Linked DNA regions of Mytilus edulis. The protein of the gene in region 3 binds, or shares a complex with, the protein of the main gene of each other region. Links are inferred from orthologs where the notes say so. Each region holds a gene or a part of one and is shown on either strand. Other genes may lie near its edges.

Region 1 (11,167 bases), on a different chromosome or scaffold from region 3:
AGTCGCATCTGGTCAGAATGGGGACAATAAATCCGATGCCTAGCTGTAGAGAGAATGTCACTCTTTGAGGAGTTCGTAGTTGGTCCACTGAAAGGCAAAATTTCTGCTTCTATCCAATAACCCATCGTTTTCCAATACATGGCATTTTCAAATTTCCAGACCTTCGTCCTGTAAGACACCTATTACAGGACCTAGCTCCCTGTTGTATTTATTGTAAAAAAAAATTGTCCTGAACTTGCATTAATATTTATGAAAATCAATCGATCAACTAGCTTCCAGTAATTTTGTGTACTCTCAGATCTGCATGTAATGACCACAATTATTCAAATTCCTAAGCAGGTAGGGATTTTACAGTAGAGGATATAAAGACATATGAATTTCTTGAATTTTGTTACGATAGTATGAACGGAACAGAACTTTTGCATTAGACATCGACTACATGTGTACAATGGTGTATGTGTTTCAACTTTGTGTGGCTTGGGTGAAGGGTTAAGAATCAAAAGATTGATGGTTGATGTCTAGCCAAAAGGACAGTTTTATTATCAGTGTTTACATAACGTGCCTATTTTTTTTTAATGAAGGATCGTCAATATGTACTATTAATTAAGTTAAACGTATATATCAGAGGTATGAAAATACCAAACAGGGTATACTGCTTAATAAAAGGGATACGCTGATCTACGCTGGGCAATGCATAATGATATTGTAAATATTTTTTTTATATATTTCCGATTGTACTGTGTTTTATTGCGTTTATATTTAATTCACCAGTCAGATGACAGTTTATCATGTTAATGTAAATTATTTATAATTCTTTGAACTTTTCATCATGTATATTATAATTTTCTTGATTAAATAACCAGTAAATTAAATATTTTTGTACATAAAATTTTGCAGCTAAAACACTGAAAACCGTGAACCGAGGACTCTGTCCTGGACCTTATGGAAGCCTAGAGCGGCCCCCAGACCCACTGCCGATTGATGCCTACAGTTGACTGAATACCTAGCTACACCCCTGGTATATGGAGAGTCCACCTTTCCATAGACAAAATTCATAGAAACAAACTTGTGCCTATGCCATTTACATGCATAAATACAGATAAACCTGTACTAGCATGTGTACAGGTCAGGAATAACCACTTATTGGTGGATTATACCTCAATTGACGTATAATCCACCAATTGAGGTATATTGGTATAGACCAATTGATGTATAATGCAAGTTTTTTGTAATTAAATGCTAGTGTGAGATAGCATGATTTTGCAACTTGCAACCTATTTCATGACCCTTATTGAGTCCGCCGAAAGTTTCAGTTTTGTCAAAGCCTGCTGCATTTCTTGAGAATGCATGTGTACAACAATTCTTTTGTTGAAACATTTGTACTATTGACCATGATTGACTTTTAATAATGAAAGTCAAGTATTAACAAAGAGCTCCATTCACCTGTGGAGTTGTACTCATGATCACATGACAGCAGACATTAATGATGTCCATTGACAGGTGATTACAGGTAAATTTGCCAATCAAGAATTGACAAGATAACAATAGAAGAAACTTCAAATACAATTATTGATTAAATGCAATACAGTACTACCTGTGACTTTATCTTATTAATGGTGGCCATAAAAAATATGTTCACCATGGTGGCCCTATATGTCCCTGTTGCTTTTTTAATACACAAGGTATTAATCAAAAACTAGTCAAGGATAAAGGGAAATCTTGAATGCATTGAAGTGTTAAAATTATATAACTTACAGGTCATGTGTCTCAGGTAATATATACATGTATGTGTTTGTCAAATTTAATAACTGTGTTTATGACAAGAAATTCGAAAATAAAATGAAATAATAAAACTAGGTGAAAAAACAGCTCAAAAAAATAATTGTCTCATGACTATTAGTTTTAATATTATACTTTTTAAATAATTTTTAATCAATTTAAGTTATTTTTTATATTAAGTATCATTTTCAAATATAATTGCACACATTTACAATGCCTGCCTTTTCTAATGAAAAGGTGTTTCTCAAATTAATTTTCTTACATCAAAATTGTTTATTAATTGTAAATAGACTGATCTGCATTCAACATTGTTTAACATATATATGTTAAAGATTGTCTTTAGGACTTACGCTAAATAAAATTTAGGCAGTTAATTATTTCTCAATTAAATAACATATAAATATTAGAAATATTCATTACAGCAAAATTTGATAATATCTTTATTGTCATATGATATTTTAAACATGATCCATGTTTTAGAGGTTAAGCATTTCTTTTACTTTTTGTTTTTGGGTAAGAGACATTATTATGAGAAGGTAAATAATTTTCATATAGATTATCTCAAAGTTGTTTTGCTAATTTTACAATCAAGGAATAGGTGTTTTCGTTGACCTACAAGAGACACAGTTTACATATTCTATCATTTCTAGGTATTTTATATAGTCCATTATTTTCTATTTCTAAATTATGACCAAAAATTCTACCTATTGACACAATTAAGTTTACAGTTTTTATCATAAGTTTTTATTCTTAGATTTTTTTTAAATTCATTTTTTATTAAGTAGATATAGGAAGATGTGGTGTGAGTGCCAATGAGACAACTCTCCATACAGATAACAATTTAAAAAGTAAACCATTATAGGTTAAAGTACGGCCTTCAACAAGGAGCCTTAGCTCACACCGAACAACAAGCTATAAAGGGCCCCAAAATTACTAGTGTAAAACCATTCAAACGGGAAAACCAACGGTCTAATTTAAAAGTCTTAATTCATTCAAGTCCCTGCAATTATTAACAAATATCTAAAAGGCCTAGGTTGAGTGAAATATTCTTTGCAAATGTATACCAAGAATATGTATCATGCTAGTCCAGCACTTTCAACAATATAATACACTGAAAAAAAAATATGATTTAATTAATAGACCATAAAAGTGTCACCATTTTTAGAAGTGCACATTATTTTTTCTGGAGACAAATTTTGAAAGAAATTAACCAAACTGAAAATAACATATTTAATAAATTTCAATTTCTTAAAATAATTTCTTTGCATAAGATTCACTTTATTCAGAGATAAGAACATTTTTCATTATGATTAGCATTTTCGGTAAACGGAAAAAAAGTCACAGGAAAAAAAGTCACAGGACTAGGTGGGCATTTGAAAAATAAGTCTTTTCAGTGATTGTTTGTGCACAACTCTTGTTTTGAGATTTGAAAAAAATTTAGATAAACAAAATTAGTTTTTTTCCTAAACCATATAATGAAACTTGTAGTTTTCCTGAATAATATTAGATGTTATCAAAATTTATTGTAAAAGGGTTGATATTGATCATCTTATTTTGTTAAGAAACCGACTTGTTTAATACTTTATTTGTTTTTTAAATATCATTTGCATGATTATTAGTTATTATTAATAGTAATAACTCATTTAATAATGCTAACAAACAATTGAATACAATGTACATCATGTACATTTATATAAACCTTTTACTTAAAAAAACAATTATTAAAAGTGTTTATTTCAAATGCTAGTCAATAACTTTATCTTTGACTTTTTGCCATTTCTACTCGAGATTCTTACCAAGAAGAAATTAAAAGAATAAGAAACAAAAAAGTAATGAAAAAACCCATACAAAAATGAAAAAAAAACAAAAATAAAAATTTTAAATAACATTAAAACAAAAAAAAAACAAATAATAAATTAAACAGACTAAAACAATATTTTATTCTACATTTTCAAAAAAAGGTGAAATGTCAATTTTAAAAGAAACCTGAGTTTCCTGTACAGGTAAATTTTAATGAAACATACCAGCTGAAAACTTCAACCCTGATTGATTTTAACAGGTAACATACTGAGATAAAAAATCTATCTATGTTTTATGACCCCCCAATAAATGGCCAACATCTGAAGATTGAATACCCCAATAAATGTTCACCATTGGATGTTGACCATGCAAGAGGGTGGACATAACTAAGAGGATAGGATGTCACAGGCTGTACTGTATGTTATGTCACTATACTAAACTAGAAATGTTTGACAAGTTTTCATACCATAATATGGTTTTAAGAAAACAATGCTCCATTTTGGTGGAATAATTTGTTTTGAAAAACAAAGAATTATACACCAATTGGTCTATATCATTATATGTCAATTGGTGGATTATACGTCAATTGAGGTATAATCCACCAATTGGTGGTTATTCCTGACCTGGTGTAAATGGTGTAGTTGATCAACATGATGCACAGATGTGACAGTCATAGCTTGACTGTCCTACAGTTTCAAATCAGCTAAAAAGAAACATCTTCTTTATGTTTAAAGAACAAAAAAGATCATGCCTTCGATACAGAAGTCTAAATAGCGCTAGAATAGTCTTTCCAAACTTTGTCGACTGCAAAATAACACTTCCGGTTTCGGATAAATAATAGCAGAGACAAATACGGAAAAGTTATGTCAATATATACGGTATCAAGAACGATATAGAATAGAATAGAATAGAATAGAATATTTTTATTTCCCAAATTACAGGGCCCAATAAAGGGCATAAAATCAGATAACTTTGATTTACATAATTGGTAACACCAACAATAATAGTAACATGTAAATAGTGATTTATGTCAGAATAAGCATTTCTCAGAATCTTCAGAAAATCTAAACTGAATAGAAGGTGCCGTCAGTCTATCATTTAGTCAGATCCTATATAACATATGGATCAAACTGACTAGTATTATTAAATTGACTGATGAAGGTAAATCCTGAAGAGCGCTTCGGACGCATAGAAATTATTAAACGTGCTGTTTTCAATTTTTGACCCATCAAATAAATATGCGGCACATATATGTAGGGCTACACAGGCACTTGTCACAGAATTATTTTTTATATTTACCTAAATATAAGGTATAGTAGGCTTCTTTTTTTCGAATACAAGTGCCTGTGCACATATAATATAAAAATATTCAATTTTAATCCGTGTTCTCCGCTAAATTAATGATGTCTGATCAGTTACAAATAATTTGCCGGAAAAAGCTTGTGACAGATCCAGCAGAAAAATAAAAACACCAAAAAAGAGCCAAAATATTAGGATCACTAATTATGGAGATTAAACCCAACCAGTCTTATATCTTTTCGTTCAATAATCCCATATATAGCAAATTACATGGATGATTAATAATATTGACCATTTCTGTGGTATATGGCCGTGTTCTAAATATGCTGCATATCTTTTTTGTTTAACTCACATTAGCCAGAGACGTATATAGCGTGACTAAAAACACCCTTCACTTTTCCATTTTACCGCTTTTAGGTCACGCAGATATGGCACCACTGACAACTTCTAATGAAAGGATAACAAGCAACGTTTCAATTGTTAATTTGTAAAAATCAATTCAGTTCCTCTAGTCCTCACCTCCCTCATTTTTCTAAATCCTGGATCCACATTTTTATACAGGGACATTGCGTGAAAGGTCAAATACAAAATATAAACAACTGTATATGATAATACGTTTTAGAAAATTCTGTGAAATCTTGTTCTTTTGGAAAATTGAAATTGAAAGTGAAAGTACAATATTTATACTTCTTTAATATTATTTGCACGTACGGTAGACCTCATTCGGCATATGACGGCTTTGTCCTTGTCATTTAAACATTACTATCGATTGATATTAAAGTGTCCGAGTCTCAAATTAAAAAAACTACAAATAATTACAACATGTAAAACTCCAATGTTTTTTCGGAAAATTAAAAACGAAAGCGAAAATGAAATATATATAGGATAGATATCTGTAAAAAGTATATATATACATTTGTAGTTAGAAATTACGCACTACAAGTAAGGAAGTAAGTGCAGTTAACTCTGAGGCAGTTAACGAATTTATGCACAATAGTACGAGTCGACGGAAATAATGGCGGCGTTTCCACTGACAGTGAGGTAAGATCATTTTACTGATGTGGTAATATGTTTCTTGTTCGCCAGGGCAACTACGATATAGAATTATCGGCTCCAATGAAAGTTTTCTGTCTTACGCAAGTCCATTTGACTGTAAACAGAGGCGGATTTAGAGGGGGGCAGGGGGCCCGGCCCCCCCCCCCCCTTTTTGGGAAAAAATTTGGTTGCTTATATAGGGAATCACTGAAGGGTGACTGGAGCGGGCCCCCTCTTAGGTCAGTAGTGGGCCCCCACTTATAAAAATTTCTGGATCCGCCACTGGTAAATGTGTAAAGGATGCTTCTCGTTCCTGTTGTACTAAGACTTTCATTTTCAACACCACTTGACAACAAGATAATATGTTTTAAATGCATTTTGCATACATTACTGATTGCCATACACTTATGAGTCTTTAAACGTATTGATTTTGATGTAACATTTCAATCTTCATGCCTATATATATCATGTAATGTGTTACGCGGACGCTAGATTAAAACTGACGACGAAAGGTAACACTCGGACTCACCCTGCCACTGAAATCTTTACTTTTGTAGAGCCTGGGTGGTCGAGTGGTCTTGCGCGTCGGGCATAGTAGCGCGATTTGGTGTCACGATATCTCAGTAGCATGATTTCGAATCCCGGGCAGACGGGAAGAACGATTGAAAATTTGCTAACACAAATTTACAGATCTAACATTTCTGGCCTGTTATTTAGACGAATTATAATATATATATAGAGAGTACATGTTATTATTTAAAACAAGAAATAACTTGTATGCTAGCATTATGAAAGTAATTACTGGTACAATGCCATCATAGAAATTATTACTTGTACACATATAATTGTATTATATATATATAGAGACGTTTTCATTAAATATTCTTCAAAGTTTGAAGTATAATGTATACATAGTTTAGTTGCACGTGTCCAGAGATAAATTTTTGGTCATTTGTCGCGTTATGTTCCAAAACATTCACATTCGACTGTTCCAGAACATTCACATTCGACTTCTACAAGAAGTCACCGAATAATGGACTGAAATGAACGTGAAGTCACTGTACGATTACAGACGGTTACAACCGATTATGTAAATCTAAAAGTATACAGTAATATTGGGAATCTGCATGTTTGATAGCTGCGGAATCGGTACGTTCTTTGGTCTAATGATTTTTTTTTACGATTTGCAGACCATAGTTCATCAGCTACATGTTTGATATGAAAGATGAATACTTTTGAAGAGGAATTTAATTCATATTTTGGGTTATTAACCACTGTCTTCTCAATTTCAAAAAAAAATCTTCGAACGAGGGCGGACTTTCAGATAATGCCCTTAAAAACTTTTAAATTGTATCATTACTTTTCATGCACAATTACTGTATTGAAAACTTCACTACAAACAACATGTTCTGTTGTCATGTAATGTTGCAAAATTGAAGCCACAGTTTACCGAGAACTCGAAAGGACATTTAATCATACAATTCAGAGGTTTTGCTAGCTATAGAACCAGCTTTAATCTACCATTTTCTACACAAGAAAAATGTCTGCACCAAGTCAGCCTGAAATATTACAGTTGTGATCTATTCATCTGATGTGTTTGAGCTTTCGAATTTGCCGTTTGGTAAGAGACTTTTCATTTAGAATTTTCCTCAGAGTTCGGTATTCAGTTTTGTTATTTTACTTTTCATAGAGGACACTGTTGACATAGTGTGAATATATTTTAGATACAATTAAATCTAACAAATAATCCATGGACACTTATAAATTTGAATTGGCATTTCTGTTTGTAGGTTATTATTGTAAACCGTTTTAAAACCGTTTTAAATGGAGGGAAAAAGAAGCAAAAGAAATTCAAAGGAGACATATATCAATGAACCAAAGAAGAAAAAGCAACGTCAAGATGAATCCTATAGCCATGGACAGTTTCGGTCATCTTTGGGACATAAATCTGGAGGAAGTATGCAATCTGAAGATGAAGAAGAAGACGAAGAGAAAACATTCGGTAAGGATTTAAAATTCATTACCATCTGCTTATCTCCAACGTTATATAACGGCCATGGGCTTGTTGAGGATCTTGGTGAGTTTTTCAGAATATAGAATAATGAGCATCTCAGCTTCAAATCCTTACTATGTATTGGTGACCTAAGCTACAGCTATCGTTCGATTTCGGTTTCTAGGAAGTGTTCTACAATTAACCTTTCAGTGCTTTTATTAAACTAGTTCATTAAATCTACTAGCAAAGAATTTATATAATGGAATTAATTATTTTTGGAGTGTAGCAAAATCTTTGGATGTTTTTGGTGGTCCTTTTAAATCGGTTGACACTGTTGACCCATAGAATAAGATAGGTATTACATATATGGTTGACCTATAAACTCTTTACATTACACCCCCACACAATCTTATTAAACATACGTTTTCCTATTTAAAGATATGGTCGTTTGAAAAATCTTTCATCAAAAGTATTGGCTGCAACTCATGTAAAGCCTCCTTGTCTAATGAGAAAGATTGATATCTTCTATATTCTTAATGGGTGTGTAATGCTTAAAGCTGTAAATGTTCTTAAACATTTTTGTACGTTTTGTTAATAAGGTTTATCGACAAGATGAAGGTATTAAAATGGGCACAAATTGGCTCCCTATATAGCAAACTTTATTTTGTACTTAAAAGAATCTCAGTCTATGACCAAACTCAGTAAAGACCTGTCTCAATTGCATTTTTAAAATTGTTTAATTCAACCACACTAACCATAACCTATGGAAAGCCAACGGGGTCAAAATTCTTAATTCGTAACTTATAACCTTGCTGATATTTTTTTCGTTACATAATAATAGATAATTTACTAAATCGTTGTATGAAATTCATCCTAAGGAACTTACTTTAAATCAATAAAATTTGAACGTTAATAAAAAAAAAGAAAACGGCGGAAGATACCAGAAAGGAGAAAACTAACGGCCTGAGTCATGTACAAAACAATGAACAGAGAACAAATATGATACACAGTAGCATACGATAAGCACCGAATTACAGGCTCCTGACATGGGAAACCACTATTACAGAAGATGGCAGAGTTAGACGTTTTCTCTTACTCTCCACTTACCTGGGGCATTTATTTAATAAAATATAAGAACAACCTAAAGAAATCAGTTTAAAAGCTACCCTTCAGATCGATACAAAAACATATTTTTTTTTTAAATCCACAAAAGACAACAAACTGAATACAACAAAATACAACAAGAACAGATCTTAGACCACTCGCAGTTGCTGAAATTTAGTTCAATTGAAATTAAACAAATAGCAACTTATAACAGAATCTGTATCTAAGACTTCAATATCAATCAGTACACATCTAGCATCAAGAGTATTCACACATTATTTGTATAAGAATCAAGAGATTTTGTATCACATTTCCCCCGTTTACACCCATTTTTACTATTGGATGACAGAGCGTCTTTAATGATTTGACGATAATGTTTCTAGATTATTTTTAAGAAGGATGAAACTAACATATCTTATATATTTGTCACTTGCATCTCTTGTAGGATATCTATTAAAAAAGAACAAAAAAAAGATAAGAAAAAAAGAAGTTAGCAGTCGCCTTTAACTTTATTTTCCGCTAGCTAGATCAGTGATTTTCTCTCACTTAATAATTCAAAATTTTTTGACTACGTTCAACGCATCCATCAAAATTGAGATAAAGGATATAATAGGTACAGCTCAGTCTGCCTCATATACTGATCTAAGAAGATGTGGTATAAGTGCCAATGGGGCAACTCTCAAACTGACTTAGATCTAGAAATTGACTATTATAGGGTGGGTTAAAAACAAAACTTTACGACAAAAGATATGCATTTTCCTATTGGGAACTTTCCATTTCTATTTTGCAAAATTCCAACAGTGCCTGCTTACAGAGTATATACGGTATTCCAGGCCTTGTATTTTCTATCATGATGTCCTTGATAGAGTATTTTTTCATACAAGGAAGCTGTTTAACCATGGTTTCCAAATGTTTTTTCATGACTTATATGTTCTTAATGTGACTTTATGTCGTAACTAAAAGATGGGGCGAAAGATACCAGAGGGTCAGTCAAACTTGCAGATAGAAAATAAACTGACAACGCCATGGCTAAAAATAAAACGATAAAAGACAAATAAAAGTGCACAAGACACAACACAGAAAACTAAAGACTAAGCAATACGAACCCCACCAAATATTGGGGTGATCCGGAAGGATAAGAAGATCATGCTCCGCGTGCTGCTCATGTTATTACAAACCCGGTAAATAGTCTTTTTCGGTAGGTTACATTCGTGGGGAAAAGGGAAGTAGATTGTAGTTACGACATAAGGAACATATCTGATATCATCGGTGAAACGGTTATTCCAGTACGGTCAACTAACTCGTGAGGGCATCCCTAAAATTTACAAAGGGATGATTTCAACTTCACCATTTGGAACTCTCAAGGTTTAATAGCTTCTTCATGAGCATCAACCCTCTATCAAAGAAATAATGATAGGAATTAAAGCCCGGGAATATCGTATCAATTGGGATTTATATACTCCGTATGCCGGCGCTGCTTAAATGTTGCTTCATAGAATTTGAAAGTTCACAATTGGAATGCTGAAATCATCTATTTGTCGTAAAGCTTTGTTTCCAACCGACCCTCATTGTTAATTTCTAGATGTACGTCCCATTCCGTTCCCTTTTCCCATTGTGACCTACTTAATTAGACTTATTGCCGGTTTTATATTTATATGAACAAACACGGTGACTGCAACAAAGTTACAGGTGGAGTAGAATTTGCTTACCCTTCCGGGGCACTTAAGATCACATCAGTTTATGGTTTGGTTCGCGTAGCTCAGTCTGTAACTTTCTATGTAGTGTTTTGTACACTGTTGTTTGTCAGTTTATCTTTTTCATCTTTTTTAGACATGTCGTTATCAGTTTATTTTCTACTTATGAATTTTAATGACTCTTTGGTTTCTTTCAACTCTCTTTGTAATCATCTCAATTAAGTGTTAGGTAGACGACGCTTATAGTTTTTTTTTTGTAGTTTTCATTCACCTAATCAACTGCATTACATAATACATAACAGTTACTGCAGTAACAGAAAAATAAAAAAAGTTAAATATTATACCTTCTTATAAATAAATTACCATTGTACAGATGCGTAAATATACAAAAATAAAAACTACAAAATGCAGTATAAATTGGTTTCATTTTTATTAGCAGTGAGCATTTCTCATCACTTTGCGT
Region 2 (10,450 bases), on a different chromosome or scaffold from region 3:
GCTGTCGATAAAAATTGCCTACTTGTTTTGAAAAAAAATCAGATTTATGAAACAAAAAGTAAAATCAGAGTTGAGAAATACCAGGACAACAAATAATAAGTCTCAAAAACTTACACTCAAATATATAGTTGGTTTATGAGTTGATGATACAGAGTACAAAAAGACAACTAACTGCCAAGGAAATCACTTTCTACATTTACCCCTTGGCTCCAATAATGACTCTCCTAGTTTGTTCTTGTAATTAGATATGTTTACTTGTTTAATAATTAGCCGTGTTGTAATGCCTTCCTCATAAATCTGATATTAAATGATTTCTGGTTGTCTTACATCCCACAAATCAATTATTTTTTTTGCAATAATATCTATTAATAAATCTGTGAGAACTTTCGTCATAATTTTTGACATTTTTTAAGAAACATTTTTTCCTTCTGTATTATAGTCATAATCAAAGACAGTAAAAGACAGATTCAAGATTCAAAATAACCTTTATCAAGTACAAATTTACAACATATATGCATGATATGCATTGTCATAAAATTGAAATTTCTTGCGCAAACTCAAAAAGACAAAAAAGAAATGGGCCAAATATATGTAAACATGTATCTGAATATCTCCTCGGTATAAACGAAAAATTTATTTAATTTAATTTTAAGCTATCATTTTGATTTCCTTTGACCCTGCATTTCATTTTTTTATTGCATGTAAGTTTACCAAACACCCATCTGACTTTCTTTGATATGATTATAAAGGATACATCTTTTGCTTTTCATCATTAAAGATGACATCATCCAAGAAAACTACATGTTTATGGTGAAGCCTCTTTAAAAGCTGAATTTCCCTGTAAAAAAAATGCATGAACCAATTAAGAAACAACCATCTCAGTATGTTCAATGTTATCTTCTGTAACCAAGTTATGATCTAGTACCCTCCTATCAACCCCGGGCAGATTAAGACAACATTTGTTATTACAATGCTACATCATCTGCTGGAAGATAAAAGTCATGCTTATTCGAAATACATCATTCTTGACCAATGGCAGCATTTGATGTCTCTTCTGACAGTGTGGAGTTGTATAGTGGTTGTGTCTTGTGTTTACAAATCTTGTCAAGTAGGAACTTAAAATAAACTTTGACATTCCAACATTTGCTGGAAAATGCTGGAGATATCTTTTCTATTCAATTTAAAGTTTTTTTAGAGTCAATATTCAATAAACTACATAAACACGAGCTCTAGTGAGCTTGCAAATAGACGTAAGACAATATTTCTAGTTTGATAAATACTAGTCTATAATGTGTCTGCATCATTGAACTATAAAATTGTGAACAAATTCTTTAAACCTGTTGTACTGATCCAAAGCATTGTGTTTTTAGTCTTTTTAGCACTTTCCAAATGAAATATTTAAGTGTTTGGCTATTGTAGTGTTACAAATACAAATTTTCAAGCTATATTTTAACTTTTAAGACTTTTTACTATTCCCAGCTACATTGAAATGCATTGACTTAAATGTAGACACAAAATATTTTTGTAAGGCCAAATAAAAATATATGTGTGGTTCCAGTAACCCGACAGACCCTAATTAAAACCCCCCGACCTTAGAACTTTTTTTTTTATTTCTGAAAAATAAATTTTCAAAGGTTAAAATTTTGAGGATTGTGAATTAAAATAATTAAATTCATAGAATTCTGTAATCTGAATTTCCATCACAAGTATCTGTTATGGGTAAAATGCAACAATTCATAACAGAATGCAACAAAATTAACTTAAAACGTATCATGACTGTTTATTTTACAACCAAACACATGTAAAAATGGCGGACTTCAGGTTGGGGCATGTATAATACCGGAAACAATTTCGGTAAACACACGATTTGTTTCCGGATTTTGACATTCAAAAAAAATAAAATTCAAAAACAAATAAAAAAATTGCCGACCTACCAACCCTATTTTTTAAAAGTATGTAACTGGAACCACACATATATTTTTATTTGGCCTAATGTTTGTAATTACTCAGTTTCTAACCCAGCCTAGCATTCTGCCATTTAGTGTCCAACAGAACAATATTTTTTGGCAGTGTTTGCATGTACCCGTATGTGGGTACGAATAGTCAAATAATAGTTTGTATGCTACGCATACCCGCATCCGGTTTTATAATAAAATGGCATCAGATTGAGAATGGAATGTGAAATATATACGGAATTTGTTGCAATTAGTGAATAAATTGATTTAAACTACTCCGAAGTTTTATAGACAGTTTTTCTCAGTTAATAAATATTCTTAAAATGGAAGAGTGATATACATGTGGGGAAGACATTTCAAGTTATCATGAATTGGAACAATTTGTTCAAAACTTTCAGTCAACTATAGCTAATTTTATACAATTGTATAAAAGAAACTCAGAGTCAATTGCAGCTGCAGGAAAAATTTGACAGGAAAAAGGCCTAATACAATCGGTATTCGATTAAAATTTATAGTTTAAATTGAATTTGCAGTGTTTCATTCTATGGTCAAGTTTTTTTTTATGTCAAATACTTCTTGTTTTTCTATTCTAAACCATTCATGATATAAAGGATATATATGTCTACTTTCAGTACTTTCCAAATGGAATGTATTTCCACTTTAAACTTGGCTTGACTAAAGCTGGAACAAAGTTGGTTTAATTTGACAATATTAATTGCTTTTTAAATTTTTATATACACACCCAAGCTTTAATTTTAGTAGTTTAAGATATTTTAAAATTTCCTTTTCTGTTTAACATTTTACTTAAAGATTATTTTTAAATCTCATATGGGTATTTTTCAAATTCAGTAATTTGCATTTACATTTTATGATAGTATTAATTTTTATCATGTTTTTCTTTTACTGGGACTGTAAAGTTTCATTTTCCATCAGTGCATCATAGTGCATGAGCATTTAATTTGCAAGGTTCATTACATATTATTATCTTAAAAATACAATTTGAAAATATTATTTTTCATATTCTTCACTTGTTCTACAGTATATTCGCCCAACTAAGAACTGGCTATACAGAACTCAATTACTACAAAACCGAGTAGGCCAAACCAACGCCATAGAGTCCTGCAACTGTGGAGCACATGAAACGCCTCAACATTTTCTTCTGGAATGTCCCTGCTATGAAAACGAACGAGAAGATATGTTACACCAAATATCCAAAGAGGTCGGGGTCAGAAACTTGAATTTAGCTAACGAGACTGGACGGCGAGAACACAGAAGAGACAAAAGCCAAACTACAAACAGTGGCACATTACATTGACAGAACGGGCAGATTTAATACTACTGTCCCACAATCCCAATCTTAACCAGCGCATACATGTACCAATTTAAAGCACAGAAAAGAAAATACGTTGAGGAAAACCGCACATTGAGACAATTCGTGCCAACAGGCCTTAAGATTGAGGATTGAGGTCTACATGAAATCCCCATACTATTGATAATTTCCGTTTATATTTCACCTTTCATTTACAATCCCACAGCATTTTTATTATAAAACCGGTGGGTACGCATAGCCTACGAATGGTAATTTGACTATTCATACCTGCATGAAGGTATGTGCAGACATAGTCCAAATAATTATGACGTCTTGAAAGGCTATTATAATTTTTTTCTTTGACGCCTTACATCGACGTCATAACGCCAAACTCATATATTCAGTTGGACTTTGAGAAGGAATTTACTGCTTTATTAAAACGTTTAGCTGATTTCTCCTAAAGATGCTTCATTTTAGGTGTATAAAATATATTTTTTAACCAAACTCGGTACATTTTCACCGACCTGAATTTCCGGATAATGTAAAACAATGGTTCCGGAAATTCGGGTTTTACCGAGTTTGGTGTAAAAATTATTTTATAATCTTCTTAAAGGAAATCAGACAAACGTTTTAAAAAATGCAGTCGACATGTTCCCGCCTCGGATGGAATTGTTCCTTATATTATTATTTCTGTAGGGATTAATTGGAAATATTTTGCACAAACAAACACATAAAAGGTAAGAATTTTTGTTTATGCATTTTGTTTTAGCCTCCAATGAAAATTTTGTGGCTAAATTGGGTCTCAAAGTTGAGAGCAAAATATGCTCTCAAAGTCCAACCGAAAATGGCGGCTTCAGCATTATGACGTCGATGTAAGGTGTCAAAGAAAAAAATTATAATAGCCTTTCAAGACGTCATAATTATTTGGACTAGTGCAGACACTGCCATATATTTTTGTTTTATTTATGTTTTCAACATAATCAAAGACATTGCCTTAAATATGCTTGACATCACATGTTGTGGCATGAGCAAACATTTTGGTTTTTACATTTTCAAATGTGATCTTCGGAAATAACAACCTTAAAACGTTTTGTTCTCCATTAGGAATTTTTCTCAGTTTCCTCTTCTTTAAAATTTTAACAGCCCTTCTGCATAGTGTGACAGTGTCTATAACTTCTTTAACTTTTCCATATGAACCCTCTCCTAACAGATCGCCAACAAGATACTTTCCAACCATCTTTGCCTTTTTCCGACGAGGCTGATAAACGACTTCGCTAGATTCAACTCTGTGAAAAAAGGGAAGACCTCCATCACTATCGTTAAGGAAATCAAGTTGATCAACATGTTCTAGGGTAGAATGGCCATATTCGTTGGGTGCAAGAAATATATCTGTTGGCACCACAACATTCTCTGCCATAACTGGTGTGGACTATTTCTTAAATTTTGGAAACCTAACATCACATTCATGTCAAAGTGGCTGGAGGAAGTTGGTCGACTCCATATTTGACAGTTATCAAAACGAGGCGACTGGTTTAAAAACGTCGTTTCGTGTTCCGGAATCAGCAAAAGAAAAGTTAATATAGCGGGAAATATAACATTTGAAATGTGTTACTTTTTGTTGATACTTTTTGGTATCAAAACTAAAAGTGTCCATATTATTTTTAAGTGTAAATATATCTTTTGTCTACGAAGACAAACACGCATTTTCGCGACCGTTACCGTCAAATGAGCCTTAATTTTTTTATGGTCATTCTTCAAATCGGCACCATACTGTACCGTCATCATATATATACAGTGAATTTAAAAACATCTTGAAGTTGATCTAGTTCATCTCATGTAGGTAAGTCTTGAAGCATTCAAGACTATCTGCACTGATGGCAGTATGTGGTAGTGCATTCCAGTCAGTCTCGAATCGTCCTTGGGTAAAAATATTCCTTCCACACTTGGGTCCTACAAGATGGTACTTGGTATCCATTAGTGTTGATATTTCTGGATAGCCTATCTGGTGGAATGAGAGTATAAGTGGTGTCAAATTTCACCATCCCGTTGGCAAGTTTACATCATTGTGAGCCTTGATGTCCTCCTACGGTCATCGAGGGGTTACTCTCCAGTTGGTTATGCATGTCACTAACAAATCATGATGTGTTATGATATCTATTAGTGCATATGTGGCTGCTCTCCTCTGTACCATTTCCAGTCGCTTTTTTTGTTGTTTAGTTGATAGGGATCCCAGACTGTACATGCATATTCTAGAGTCGGTCTTACAAGTGATTTGTATGCATTTTCTTTTATTGTGTTGTTATTGATGTTCAAGTTACGTTTGAGGAAGCCTATGGTCTTGTTTGCCGTAACACATATGTTTTTGATGTGTTCATTCCATTTTAAATCGGAGCTGATGGTGCAACCAAATTACTTTGCAGACTCGGAGTTAAGAGATTCGAGAATGTGGCCATGCAGTACATATTCTTTTATAATAGACTTGCATTTTCTTGTTATGATAAGAACATTACATTTATCTGGATGAAATGCCATTTGCCATTTGTTTTCCCAAATTGCCAGCTTATTTAGATCTTCCTGAAGGTGGTCGCTGTCTGTGTCTGATGGTATTGGAGATATATGATTGTATCATCAGCAAAGAGTCTTACCCTTGATCGGATTCCCTCTGGCATGTCATTTATATAGAAAAGGAACAAACTGGGTCCAAGAACTGATCCTTGTGTGACGCCTGAATCGACGTTGATTGTATCAGATTTTTCCCCTTCTACAACTACGACTTGTTTTCTGTTGGCCAGGAAGTTTGTGATCCACCTGTTGGTTTTCCCTCCTATGCCATAATGATCCAGTTTGTGTGTAAGTCGGCTATGACCTACTTTATCAAAGGCCTTAGAAAAATCCATAATAAGGCAGTCTGTTTGTTTTCCATGTTTATGGTGATATCGTTAATAAACTCAATCAGTTGTGTTTCGCAGGACAGGCCTCTCCTGAATCCGTGTTGGAGTGGATACAGTATGTTGTACCTCTGTTGTGTTTGTCAGCATGGGTCATTATGTGGCTTGTTACAATGTACTCCATGATTTCGCAACAAATGCAGGTAAGCGAGACTACTGCATCAAACCGTTTTCCCTTCTTGAATATTGGGATTACGTTAGCCTTTTTCCATATGTCCGGTAAATCGCCTGTTTCATATGATCGTCTGAAGATGGTGGTAAGGATTGGTGCAATGTCTATGGCTAATTCCCTCTGCACCCTTGATGTAATGGTGTCTGGACCCGCAGCTTTAAATGGGTTTAGGTTGGACAATAGTTTTGCTATTCCATTTTCTGTTATGTTCAGGTCTTTTTTGAAGTCCAGGGTAGTTGTTGTTGGTCATGTCACAACGGTTTTTGAATTCGGTTTCTGTAAAGTTGTTTTTTTTGTCAGAGAAAAACTGATTGGAACTGTTTATTTAGTATGTTAGCCTTTTCAACTGACTCAGGATGGAGTAGTCCATTGTTCCTTAATGGTAGTATAAGGTTTCCGTCTGATCTTTTGTGCTTGATGAATGTCCAGAAACGTTTCATGCAGTTTGGTTTGTCTTCTTTGGGATCAGGTGTTATTATATTCTCTATATATTTCCAATATGCTCGTCTTATTTCTCTCTGTACCGTACAGAGAGAAATAATACCAGCATATTGGAAATATCTACTACCAGTCTTTTTAGTTCTTTATATTTTGATGGTATGCTTAGCATCAGCTGATTTTTTTTTCGAAACGGTGAGCTTTAGCCATCACTTGGCGTCCGTCGTCGTCCGTCATCGTCCATCTGGTGTAAACTATTTCAAACATCTTCTCCTCTAAAACTACTCAACCAATTCCAACCAAACTTACACTGAATAATTCTAAGGGTATCTAGAATAAAGTTTGTGTTTTATTTTCTGTTTCGTCAAAAAAACATGGCCGCCATAGCTAAAAATAGAACATAGGGGTAAAATGCAGTTTTTGGCTTATATCTAAAAAAAACAAAACAAAGCAGTTAGAGAAAATCTGACTTGGGGTGAAAGTGTTCTTAAGGTAATGTTCTATCAGCCCTGAAATTTTCAGATGGATCTAAATTGTTGGGTTGCTGCCAGTAAAATTGGTAATTTTAAGGCCATTTTGCAGTTTTTGGTTATCTTGAATAGTGTTAATGATAAAGATAAACTTTAAACAGCAAATATGTTCAGCAAAGTAAGATTTACAAATAGGTTTATAGGACCAACATTGTCAATTGACCACTTAAAGAGTTATTGCCCTTTAAGGACAATTTTACACAATTTGTTTATCATGTTTTCTAACTTTAAAAAATCTTCTTTTCTGAAACCACTGAACCAATTCCAACCAAACTTGAGCTGAATGATCCTTAGGATGTCTAGAATAAAGTTTTTGTTTTATTTTCTGTTTCGTCAAAAAAACATGGCCACCATGTCTAAAAATAGAAGATAGGGATAAAATGCATTTTTTGACGTATATTTTAAAAACCAAGGCAGTTAGAGAAAATCTGACACGTGGTAAAAGTATTCATAAGATAGTTCTATCAGTCCTGAAATTTTCAGATGAATCTAATAACCCATTGCTGGGTTGCTGCCACTAAAATGGTAATTTTAAGGAAATTTTGCAGTTTTTGGTTATTATCTTTAATAGTATTAATGATAAAGATAAACTGTAAACAGCAAATATGATCAGCAAAGTAAGATCTACAAATAAGTTCATATGACCAAAATTGTCAATTCACCACTTAACGAGTTATTGCCCTTTAACGACAATTTTACACAATTTTTTTTAAAAACAAAATTCAATGAAATTGGACACTCAAACCCTTTAACGAAAGATAAATGCCAAAAAAATCAACTTGAGCGATTCTTGTTTCTTTTTATTTATTGTAATGTTTTTTCTCTTTTCTTTATGAGCGTTTGATGTCTGTCGTAATCCAAGGGTTACCGTCTTTTGTTCTAGCTGTTTTTGTGATATGTTGGCATTTATAGTATTTTCAAGTTTACCTTGAACATAGTCCCACATTTCTTGTGTACTACATTCTTGATGGTTCATCTTGGTAACATCTGTATTTATTAATTTGAGATCTTCTTTGATGTTTTCCCGCTTAGCTTTTTTATATAAGGATATTTTCCTTGGCTTTTGAGGTTTTTTTTTATGGTATGGTGTTCAACTCTGCAAAGACGATGTCATGATCTGATATGCCCGATATATATGGTTTCGACTCTATTGTAGCAGTTTGGGTAGTTCGTGATTATGAGATCTAGTGTGTATGATTCTCTTGTTGGTTCCTCTACCATTTGTTGTAAGCCATGATCGTCCAGGATGTCAGTGAACTTATGGTGTATGTTGGTATTCTGTGTATTGGGCTTCAGTGATTTGGTTTTCCAGTCCCAGCCTGGTAGGTTAAAATCACCAGCCATGATGATTAAAGCATTTTTTTATATTGTTCGCTCTGGTTAGGCTCTTCTCAAGTCCTAAGTACCCATTCTCGTTTGATGTTTTGGGGTTGTAATATGAGCTTAAGTATATGGCTTTGTGTCCAATGAGTTAAAGTTTGCACAAGACAATTTCACAGTCAGTTTGTAGTTCAGGTACGGCTGTTGTTATATATTTATCTTTAATAGCAACTAGTACGCCCCCTCCACTACAGTTTCTGTCTTTCCGGAAGATGTTATATCCAGGAGGGAATATTTGACTGCCAGTGATCTTATTGTCTACCCATGTTTCGGTTCCAAAGATAATATCTGGGTTTGTGCTTTCTATGAGATTAAGTACTTGTCCTTGTTTACTTTTGATTGATTGGAAGTTAACATTTAGTAATCTTAGTGGTGTTTCAGATTTCTTTGATGGTTTTCTGTTCTTGTTTTTATCCGGTGTGGAAGCATGTAAGGGTCTCATATTTATTGAAGACGTTGGACTGGTAAGAGAGGTGTCAGACAATACGCTGTAATTGTTTGATGTGCTAAGTATTAATGAATAGCATCTGTGTTGAATAGTTTGGACATCCACATGTGATACAATCCCATGCAAGTCCACTGTCATTTGCATATTCATTATACGATTTAGTGTTCATCGACTGGCATGACACATGGTACCACTGATTGCATGTGTCACAAACTATTCCTCTATCGTCCCATGTAACTAGATTGTCACAAGTGCCACATAGATACACAGTTGACAAATCCTTAATATTAAATAGTCAAATCTTATTTTGTAGCCGCTGAGACTACTATAACTCATGGTAGTCTCAGTTTGTAGCTACAGTGATCTACAGTTGTGCAAATCAATGGAGAGAAATCTCAGTCTGGTTTTTTTACCATACCTCTTTCGGCTTACATACTGAAGTCTGTCCAGGGAGAACACGATAATATTGTTTATGCCGAAGCAGTAACAACACCAATCAAAGAAAATCAGACACCAAGAAAAGTTTACCAATATAAGAAAGCAGACTTTGGGACCATGAAAGCAGAAGCAAATAATCTTGGAAACGATGTTATCATAAACTGCAATAAAATTGAGAATGGAAATGGGGAATGTGTCAAAGAGACAACAACCCGACCAAATAAAAAACAACAGCAGAGGGTCACCAACAGGTCTTCAATGTATAGTACAGATATAAACAAAATATGGGAGGAATTTAAAGATGATACATAAACTTACTAACAAGACTGAGCACATACCACAGACAACAATTAAACATCATATAGCACCGGATTATAAACTACCCCCCCCCCAAAAAAAAAAAAATCTCGTTTTTAAAATGCATGAGTAAAGAGATAGCTGGAGTGCCACCATTGAAACATGAAGGACAAACATCAAATGACACAGTTGACATTGAAGCCAACACGCTAAACCATCAGTTCCAATCAGTTTTTACTGAAGACAACAAACCTGTCTCACTAAACCTGCATCCTTTGCAAGCTTATGAAGCATATCGTAGTATCCAACGTCATGAAACATTTAGAAACTAATAAAATACTATCCGAGTTCCAACCTGGCTTTAGAAGTAAGAAATCGTGCGAGACACAACTTATAGGCCTGATACATGATATAACATGTAAAATGGACAGTAAAACACAAACAGATATAATAGTCCTGGACTTAGCAAAGACATTTGATAAAGTCAGCCATCCACGCCTGCTACACAAGCTCAGACACTATGGGATAAGAGGGG
Region 3 (10,299 bases):
AAGGAAATTTTCATACTTTTAACATGTTGAAAAAAAATATGTAAAGAATGCAAAATGGCAGCTTCTGCAGAACACCTATCATTGCCTATTCAGTTGAAAAAAAGTTAAAAAAAAAATTCTCAATAATTTGATCTCACCAAATACTTTTAAATTATTTAACATGTTTAAAAGTAACAAAAAAACAAAAAACTTGAAATACAATACTTCCTTGTCCGTTACAAGTGATAAGCTAAAGGTTTGACATTCAATTCATCTTAAAAGACTTCACTACATGCTCAAATTACTTCATACCTTATCAGCTTTCTTTTCCCCTGTACTTCCCTTGGAAACAGCAAGGAGAGCCTCCTTTAGGGACTTAACCACATCCTGGGGACTCTTCTGTGACTTCCCAAACAGGGGCATTATAAGGATTTACGATCCTATTTTTCCACTTAAGCCTGCAATAAATAATAGTATTATGTTTCATGTATGTACAATCATGACAATAGTACAAAGTTACAAATGCGTATATAATGATGCACTTTACTAGAGTCTTCTATGATTGATGATATGATGCACTTATATAAATGTACAAATTTAAGAGCTTGCGTTTTTTGTGTAACTATACTTACTTGGTTAATAAATAGAATCATTTTTTTTTTTCTAGATTTCTATAAGGCAGATCTAGAACATTTGCATATTTCTTGAAGAAAATGAAGTGCTTCTTAATTAGCTATGATATGCCATTATTATAAAAAATAAGGTTAAATAACTCTAAAACAATTAAAAAATCAAGAGATACAGTTGTAACTAAATTTTACACGTAGATCACCAACAGTAGGTGAAAACAAATGGTCTACAGTACACAAGTGACAACTAGTCAAAATGTTTATAAAAAAGATGAATAGTCTGGAATAACAATTAAAAAAAGTCTTTAAAACTACCTAATAGAGAGCTTTATTTTATTGCTGCTTATGATTATTACAAGAACTAAACATTGATCAAATTTTATGGGGATACAATGAGGCCAATATTAAGTATGTGTATGTACATTTTGTATTTGTTTGACCCTCTCTCACCATTTATTTATAAGTACAATAAAGTTAGAGAACGGAAACCAACTTTGAGACTTACGTTCATACTTAAAGTCAAGGGTAAAACTTAATACCTTCTCCGCAACGGAGGGGGGCATAAAAATGAAGTTTAAGCAAGCATGTTGTTGGCAACCTCTGATAAATCATGGTCATGATACAGGAAGCAAACATGCAGCATTTAAACCACTGCACATTTGCACCAAGAGCCATACATTTTGTACATACAGTGTATCTGTTAATGGTACTCTGGGAGTCTGGGTGAAGGATTTATGAAAGAGATTCAAGGGTTTTACGAGAGGAATTATGTATGTTAGCTATATAGGTAAATGACATTTGTTGAGTAAAACTAAAAATATGTATACATGGTATAAGTATCTAAACAAATGTCCCTGAAAGATATCTTATAGAAGTTGTTTTCGTTCTATCATTGTCTATGGTAATGAAAATTTGTTGGCTGCTTGACATCAAGTTGGAACTATTCATCAATATTCAGGATCGAAATACATGTAATGTGTGAGGTGAATATATTTTGCTTTGTACTAAAACAACATGCTGAGCAAGATAAGTGTTTTGCTACATGACAGTAGGATGTATGTATACAAAAGTAACATGTACGACCCAAGATATTAAAATGTTCCCTTAAAATACCTGTCATCCCATTCAGATACATTTATACATGAGCAAAATCATCTTTCCTTATACTCCAAAAAGTTGCAACTCATTCAAAACTCTTAGACCTGAATAAAAGTTGTTGAACCAATTACACACCCCTAATTATGATGAGCATGCATATCACAGTACCATCACCTTGGTTAAGTTGGTTTTGTTGGTACTCTTTTCAATTCCCTCCAACAAAACAAGAGTTCTGCTTACATGCCAAAAGACTAACCATGCTAACAGCAGGATTTAAGGTTTCATCAAAATAAAATACTTCTATGATTTAAGAAAAAAAATCATGGGAATTTACAATCAACCATGAGAGATAGCTATGCTATAGATGAATGCCTGTGAAAACAAGGATTAGGGATGACTTTTTATTGAAATGTTAATTTCTCCATAACAGGAGGGAAACATTTGCAATGAACTATAGCTAAGGTGTGGCCTATTGAATGTAAAAACATGTAGCATGTTTTATGACTCTGAAATCAACCAATTAAATCTTACATTTTAAGTTAAATCAGACTACATGGACAACTATTATCCAAGGACAAAAAAGTCATTATTATAACATAAGTTGTATTTTTCATCTAAAATAAGGGGTTTCGCTGGCCTAGTAATTCTAAGTAATCATAATGTACTGTCTATGTATACTGTGTCACTAGCCTGTTAATATAGAGGTTGGAAGTTTGATTCCCCCAAGTGGCAGCTTAACTACAATCTTAATTGACTAGGAATATTAGTTTTTCTCATTAGGAGCTCCTGCTTCCTTCACCACTTAAAATCAACCAACACTAAAAAACACAATACTGAACAGTGCTAATTATATAAGTGGCATTAAACACCAAATAATCAATCAATCACCTCAACTTATTATAAAGGTATCTTAAGAAATGTATCAAATATCTCTGTATTAAAGTTTGTGGATCTTTTACAAAAATCTTGGTTTTATTTGCCACAAAATTCTTTTTTTCTATTAAATGCACTAAAACAATGAATGATAATGTTTTGAAATTGAATGAATTTTCCCCTTAATAGTATGTGTCTGAAACGGTCCATCTCTATTATTTTTATTACCTTTGATAGTATTGCAGTTTGAAAATTTTGTAATTCACCTCTAATATAACATTAAATAAAGGCAACAGTAGTATACCGTTGTTCAAAAATCGTAAATCTATGGACAAAAAACAAAATCGGGAAAACAAACTAAAACTGAGGGAAACGCATTAAATATAAGAGGAGAATGACACAACATTCAAATGTAACACACATAGCAACAGACTAAGCATTAGACAAAATCCAAGGAGAATAATCAATATAACATCAAAACCAAATACATGAATTTGGGATAGAAAAGTACCGTGAAACGTCTTATAGTAATGTGAATTCACACTCAAATATAGAAGAAAACAAACGACACAACGGAAACACAACGTAAAAATGTAAACAGGACCTACCTATTGTATTTTTTGTTAAATTTTTCTCGCCCTGAACATGCATGAAATATTTGCTACTGGACTTTAAGCAACCAACAATCAATCAATCAATTACAAATGTATATCTGTGTTTTGTTGAAATAAACAGTTTGTAAAGTTATTGCAACAATTGTTTGAGGCAAACTAAACTTGAGAGAATAAAAACAAAAAAATCAGCATTTTCAATTTGTAAAGGGACATAATTCTGAAAAGTAAAAGTGATGTCACAAAAACTCAAACTTGATCAGATTTTTTTAGGAAGAAGTATTATGTATAAGTTTAATTTCATAACATTTGTTTGAAGGCAAACTAATGTTAGTGAACGGAAACAAATTTTTGGACAATGTCACATTCAGACATAAGGACGGACAAGCTAAAACTGAATGCCCCCTTCGTGGAAAAAAAAAATTTGCCTATACATGTACATGTACATTTTGTAACTGCTCACTTCCACATGTACACTTCCTTATACTTAAGCATAAAAAAAAATAATTTTGAAAGTAAAAGTAAAAACATTTTATTTCATGTGAAATAATCATAATGAGGAAGCTACCATTTCATTCATTTAAAAATTTTCGTCTTCTGCTTACAATATTTGTCTTCATCAGGCCTAAAATGGGGATCAGAATATTTTTTTTTAGGATAAAAAAAAAATACCCCCCCCCTCTTTTTGACAATGTTTGAAGTGAAATGGTGTTTTAATTACCTGCCATATTTTCACAACATGAACAACAATAACATTGTTATTCTGAAAGTTTAAAACCAGAAGACTGTTTATGTTCATTCTCCAGTTATAAATTATTTCTTCTTCTTCTTTTTTTTTAATATGTGTAAAAATAATCTTCATCATCATGATCATGTTCTTCATCCTCATTCAAAAGAATATAACTAATGTGCTCAAGGTGTTAGGTGGCATTTTAAAGACTTTGGTGGTGTTTGACCCTGTGCAGAGGTGAAATGACCTACAAGTGAGTATGGCGCAATTTTCTGTGGGCAGCCAAGTCTGAAATTGCTTGGGATTCAGAAAAGGGATTAACCTTAGTCATGTTAGTTCATTGAATAAATGGCTAAAGTCTGCAAACCATTCGACGTATCATGCATGTATATAGCATAATTATTAAAAGAATAAAAGATTACTCAAAGAGTTGCAAAGTGCATTCAGCAAACTAATGGGTTGGCAAATAAGAAAACATGGTAAAAATGAAATTATGTCAAATTTATGGCATTCTAAGAATGTTCATCCATTGTGACATTTCAGTTCACTGATATATTTTGAAAGTTTTTGTTCAATTATTGAAGGAATACGATATATTACGACTATACTAGAACAAATACTTTAAGTCTGATGCTTATTAAGCTTCCTTTTGAACAGGAAAATTGAAATGCTTACCAGTGATGAACAAGATAGCTATCGAACTCAAGAAGGAAGTGACGTCACGGGTCAGGTGCGCAGAGCCGGAAGATAAAAATGTAAACAAACCCACATGGTTAAAAGAGCTAAAATGAACTTTGAACCATTTTTTACGTTATCTTACCCTGAAATAACTTGACATGTCATTTAAAACATGTCCTCCCAAGATCAAGTCCATCGTCCCGATGTTATAGTTATTGGTGCAGGAATTTCTGGACTTGTCACTGCAAAATGTCTGAGAGAAGCTGGTTTGAGTGTGGTTGTGTTTGAAAGATCTGGTGACATAGGAGGGTTATGGACATTCAGAGAAAATGACTATGGTGTTATGAGATTCACACACATGTAAGTTTTAAAGCTACTGACAACATTATTTTATAAAAGATTAATACCAAATCAAATTTGTATCTTGCTTCACCTCACAAATCCTTGTAAAATTTTAAAGCAAACTTGTGTATATTTTTGAGGATAGTAATGCCCTTTATCGTCAAACGATCATTTTCCGCTACCGTTAGCATCGTTTTGTTAATATTTTACCATGATTTGTCAGAGATCTCAAATAATTATCTTTACCGTTATTTTTGGAAATAAATTAACATGATTTGTCAAAACGGATTTGGATTTGTACAAATCCTTGGTCAAAATCATTTTTTTATCGTCATGCACCAAAAATTATCGTCAACGTCATTGGGCAATTTTTTCCCCCTGTTATTGGTCATGACAGTACCCCCATTTCTACCCTTATTTATGACCTCCCCTCATTTATGTGATCTGTCTCCTTACAAAGGTAGTCCAAATGATTATGAGGTGCTTTAAAGCCTTTCATTGTCCAAGGAAATAACTCAAAAATTAATTTGAATTCAAACAAAATAAAAAAGTAAAAGTTTAAACCACAAAAATATAGAACCCCAAAGAAATTCAAAAGGTATGAAGTTGATCCTGATCCATAGAAAAATAAAGATGAATGACTTGCAAAGTTGAAGACATTTTGATTCAGCGTAAGTGGAAATTTGCAAATGAAAAATTGTGTTGTATTATTTAAGGTATATATATATAGAAAAAAAATCTGAGACAAATACCTGCATTTGTGGTGATTTATGAGCATAGCAAATTCAAAACACAGTTCTATTTCAAATTTAAATTTGAAGGATTTGTTTATATCAACAAGGATTTAATTTGTGTAGATTTAGAGTAATTAGTAATCATAATCTTCAAATTAAAAGTCTTGTCAGAGAGACTTTTATAAAGAAACAGCTAATACTTTAATATATAGTGAAGAGCAATTTTTTTAAAATTATAAATGTACCTCTTCAAGATAAGAATATGTAGCTGCCTTAAAAATGTTAAGGTCAAAGTTTTTTTTAAAGATATTAAGTATTGACTGAGACTTCTATAACATAGTAGTCTCAGGTATTGACAAGCTTTCTTTAATATAAAAATTAGAGATGCATATATCTTAATAACATATATTTTTATGCCCCACCTACGATAGTAGAGGGGCATTATGTTTTCTGGTCTGTGCCTCCGTTCGTCCGTCCGGTTAAAGTTTTTGGTCGAGGTAGTTTTTGATGAAGCTGAAGTCCAATCAACTTGAAACTTAGTACACATGTTCCCTATAATATGATCTTTCTAATTTTAATTCCAAATTAAAGTTTTGACCCCAATTTCACGGTCCACTGAACATAGAAAGTGGGAGTGGGGCATCCGTGTACTATGGACACATTCTTGTTTATAATTATCTCAACTTGAAAGAATCAACATTAAAAGATGATATATTAAATTGAATTTATATCTGAATTAAGAATTATATAACTTTCTGAAGTCTTTGTCTGGAAAAAGAATGCGGAATATATAAAGATCCGAAAATCAATGTTTTTTCTTGACAACATATAATTAATTGAATTTGATAAATATATGTATGGTATCTGTGTGGACCTAGAGTTATCCCTCTTTGTATATCTCATGGAGTGACTCAACCCTCCCCTAATCATCAAACAATACAATATTTTGATATGGTTCATTCTATTTTACTACTTGTAACTTGATTGATATTTTTGTAATAAGCCCTTTAATAATGAGCAGAAAATAAAAATATTTTTATATAAGTGTGTACATGTAACGAAAGACATCAATTGTAGGACATATAGGTGTAATATAAACACCATTGATTTTCCCCTTTTTGTCTTTGTTAAATTTGCACTTTTAAAAAAAATTATGCAGAATTTATCTTTGTTTCAAATACTTGGCATTAGTAAAGCTATATCCCATCTAGTACCGTACTACAGACAAAATTTTACATTAAATTTCATTGCATATAGGAAATAAACCAATCAAATTTTCACCTCTTTTTTTTTTTACCTGTGTGCAAGATTTAGTAACCATGTAACCTCAAGTTTTCAGAAATATTCTATTAAAAAAAAACCAAATATATACATGATATATATGCATACCCTTTTCTAAGCTGAAATTTTCAGACATATACGAATTTAATTGAATTTATATCTGAATTAAGAATTATATAACTTTCTGAAGTCTTTGTCTGGAAAAAGAAGGCGGAATATATAAAGATCCGAAAATCAATGTTTTTTCTTGACAACATATAATTAATCGAATTTGATAAATATATGTATGGTATATGTGTGGACCTAGAGTTTTTTTTAATAGAATATTTCTGAAAACTTGAGGTTACATGGTTACATATTCTGTAAACATTAAATTTTCACCCCTTTTTTCTCTAATCTTCATTTTTTAAGGGCATTATTCTTTAATCATTTAACCCCATCCAAACCCTCATATACTATCACTAATCAGTAAAATAATTTTTCTAAGCCTCAGGCTAACTGCTAAGATACATGTAGCGAGATTTTGAATTGAAAACATCATTTGAGTTTTTGTTATTTATTACTTGATCTGTATTGCTGAATTATTATATCATTTGTATATATTGTTAATCTATATTAGTAATTGTTTCGTTTATGATATGAAATATTGTAGAAATATGCATTTAATACTGGAGACTTCTGAGAATACATATTAAGTTTTGTGGTCAGTCATAATTAATTTTTAAAACACTTAATGAATACTAATTTGGTATATATACGTTGTATTACAATTTGGGTCAGCTTAACCAACATTTTATGCATGATCTAGTTGAGGTAGACTTTCTGTAATCTTTGACACATATATGTATGAATATTATATATAAATGTATAAAATAAATTTTAGAAATGTATCAAAGTACAACTACTGTTTCTCAGACTTTCCGTTTCCTGACGATGTTCCAGATTACCCACACAATGTTGATATGGCCAAATATATTAAAAGTTATACCAACCACTTTAAGCTGAATGAAATCATCAAATTGTGCAGAAAAGTGGTCAGCATTGAAAGACAAGGTCTGTAACCATGGTAACATTGTTATATTGTTTATTTGAAAGAACTTTAGTTCTGACATGGACATGGATATGTTTTCTAAACAAGAAATTCAACATGTTTCAAATAATTCCTTGTTTCTAATAATATTAAAACATTTAACATGCATAATTATGGTTTACTACAAAACAAAAAGTTAAATCGCAAAAGTACAGATCTCTGAAGAAAATTTGAAAAGGAAGTTCCTTATCAAATGGCGAATCAAAAGCTCAAATACATCAAACGAATATACATCCAACAAATTGATAACAACTTTCATATTCCTGACTTGTTATAGGCATTTTCTTATTTAGTATGTGTATTAAGTCTGGTTTTAAAGCTAGCCTTACCTCTCACTTGTATAACAGTCGCATACAATTCCAATTTCAAAAATTTAATAAACAAAATTTTACAATTTAACCAAATGAAATTTAATATAAAAAAGAAGATGTAGTATGATTGCCAATGAGACAACTATCCACAAAAGACCAAAATGACACAGACATTAACAACTATAGGTCACCGTACGGCCTTCAACAATGAGCAAAGCCCATACCGCATAGTCAGCAGTAGGCTTTTTGTGTGAAAATAGTGTCCAGTTGATTTTGGTGGCTAAGCAGTGATGGATTTAGAGGGGGAACCCAGGGTGCCCAAACCCCATTTTTTGTTGAGGAAAAATTGGTTGATTATACAAGGAATCACTGAAGCATGACTGGAGCAGGCCCCCTCTTAGGCAGTCAGTGTGCCCCCTTTTGAAAATTTCTAGATCTGCCACTGCTAAGCCTGTGTACATAGTTGTATTTTCAATGACCATTATCTACCTTGTACTTTTTAAAGCTTACTGTAATACAATATAGACATTGCTCATTGTCTGAATCCATATCTCCTTTGGTTTAACTAATAGCTTTCTCATTTAAAATCATACCACATTGCCTCTTTAAATAATATTTGCATCATGTGGCAATATAATTTTTTTGGTCAAGGTACCCTTTAATTAAATATGCTTTTACATGTAGAAATACCAGTTTTAACATACTTAACTGTTATTCTGATGTAATCTAGTGCAACATGATAATTTATGTACAAACTAAAGAGATGTATACTTATACAGACCTATAATTTTATGTGTCTGTGTGGTTTACATGTTACATTTTCAAATTAAAATGTATGTATTGTAATTGACCCTAGTAGCCTCACAATTGTAAAATTTACTTGTATTCTTTTATTCGTTATTGCATACATGTCACATCTACATTATGACATGTACTTGAAAGAGATAAAAATAGCCATATAAACAATAAACATTGATGCATAAGTAAAAAACATGAAAAAACTTGCAATGGGTTATAACAATATAAGACAATTTATCTTAAGTAAAATTGAGTATGAAAATGGGTAATATGTCAAAGAGACAACAACCCAACCAAAGAGCGGATACCAGCTGAAGTAATGTGCAAAGCAGAATTATTTGCAGTCAGTGTCTTTAAGCATTTAGATTTTTTTTATATCGTAGTCCCTTTTAAAGACATTGGCAAAGTTTCATTTAGTTACAACAAAGTAGCCATATGAAGAAATCTAGATATAGATCTAAAATCTGAGAACAAAATACTGTAATTGAAAACAGTTATTAAAAAAATATCTTTGGAAGGTTGTTGGTTCTCTGAAGTCTGGTTTTCTCCACCAATAAAAACTAACCACAACAAGTACTGTTAGCCAACAGTTCTAAAAGTGGCAGTTGACACCAACAAGCAATCAATCAACTTTAATTAAAACTAAAATATAACTTCAAGAACGAGAAAAAAACCAGTTTGTAAAATATTAGATAATGAAACTATCAGTGAAGTTTTGAAATCCACTCATATTTAGCTCTTTGAAATGGGTTGAAGCTGATGTTAACTTACGCTATAATCAGATAATATATGTACATGTACTACAATTTATAAGTCATTTATAGGTAATTATCATTAAAAAATGTATTATATTTTTTATTGATACATTTGTATCTTTTAAACCTAGGAGAAGATTGGAAGGTTATTGTACAAGAAGTAGAAAAGGATGGTATTACAGTCAAACCAGACTCACAGGAAGTGTATCTAGCCAAGAATGTTGCCATAGCATCAGGACATCATGCAAAACCAACAAAGGCCAAATTTATGGGACAAGATTCTTTCACCGGTAAATTTTTTATACTCCCGCAAAAAATAAATGTTTTGGTCGTATATTACATGGTATCACGTCGTTGTTGTCAGTATCGTCTGAAGACGGATGATTTCCG

The links.
Region 1: the proteins of protein Mo25-like (region 3) and STE20-related kinase adapter protein alpha-like are in contact, whole or in part, in a crystal structure (PDB 3GNI), measured with the Homo sapiens proteins. The link is inferred for Mytilus edulis from reciprocal best matches to the Homo sapiens genes CAB39 and STRADA. Residues at the interface, in NP_001124321.1 of Homo sapiens: Leu26, Glu27, Lys28, Gln29, Tyr55, Gly56, Thr57, Asn58, Ala85, Asp86, Gln88, Leu89, Phe92, Glu93, Lys96, Arg107, Glu138, Leu141, Ile145, Ser176, Thr177, Phe178, Asp179, Ser182, Asp183, Glu221, Asn222, Tyr223, Val224, Arg227; in NP_001003787.1 of Homo sapiens: Pro64, Leu104, Glu105, Cys107, Ser108, Asn109, Val112, Gln116, Leu119, His120, Lys123, Leu124, Phe125, Asn126, Thr136, Phe137, Ile138, Asp140, Asn141, Leu143, Tyr185, Met189, His223, Gly224, Arg226, Val426, Asp427, Asp428, Trp429, Glu430.
Region 2: the proteins of protein Mo25-like (region 3) and serine/threonine-protein kinase stk11-like are in contact, whole or in part, in a crystal structure (PDB 2WTK), measured with the Homo sapiens proteins. The link is inferred for Mytilus edulis from reciprocal best matches to the Homo sapiens genes CAB39 and STK11. Residues at the interface, in NP_001124321.1 of Homo sapiens: Gln109, Gly111, Thr112, Lys196, Leu197, Leu238, Asp239, Arg240, His241, Phe243, Met246, Ile250, Val280, Ala283, Asn284, Pro285, Glu317, Gln318; in NP_000446.1 of Homo sapiens: Gln100, Arg103, Arg104, Glu165, His168, Ser169, Gly171, Leu201, His202, Pro203, Phe204, Ala205, Ala206, Asp207, Asp208, Phe234, Arg301, Ser307, Arg310, Lys311, Lys312.

Annotation. Positions count from the first base shown.
Region 1 is NC_092345.1:36,193,529-36,204,695, forward strand, and holds the start of STE20-related kinase adapter protein alpha-like, read right to left. Parts: upstream 4,408-11,167; 5' UTR 4,331-4,407; intron 1-4,330. Other genes in the region: sacsin-like, read left to right, coding at 7,738-7,915. UniProt on the Homo sapiens protein: Pseudokinase which, in complex with CAB39/MO25 (CAB39/MO25alpha or CAB39L/MO25beta), binds to and activates STK11/LKB1.
Region 2 is NC_092344.1:117,604,831-117,615,280, forward strand, and holds the start of serine/threonine-protein kinase stk11-like, read right to left. Parts: upstream 4,800-10,450; 5' UTR 4,682-4,799; coding exon 4,344-4,681; intron 839-4,343; coding exon 755-838; intron 1-754. UniProt on the Homo sapiens protein: Tumor suppressor serine/threonine-protein kinase that controls the activity of AMP-activated protein kinase (AMPK) family members, thereby playing a role in various processes such as cell metabolism, cell polarity, apoptosis and DNA damage response.
Region 3 is NC_092346.1:47,964,563-47,974,861, forward strand, and holds the start of protein Mo25-like, read right to left. Parts: upstream 4,652-10,299; 5' UTR 4,596-4,651; intron 4,595-4,595; exon of another isoform or gene 4,541-4,594; intron 438-4,540; 5' UTR 403-437; coding exon 292-402; intron 1-291. Other genes in the region: flavin-containing monooxygenase 5-like, read left to right, coding at 4,771-4,958, 7,839-8,008, 10,041-10,199. UniProt on the Homo sapiens protein: Component of a complex that binds and activates STK11/LKB1. In the complex, required to stabilize the interaction between CAB39/MO25 (CAB39/MO25alpha or CAB39L/MO25beta) and STK11/LKB1.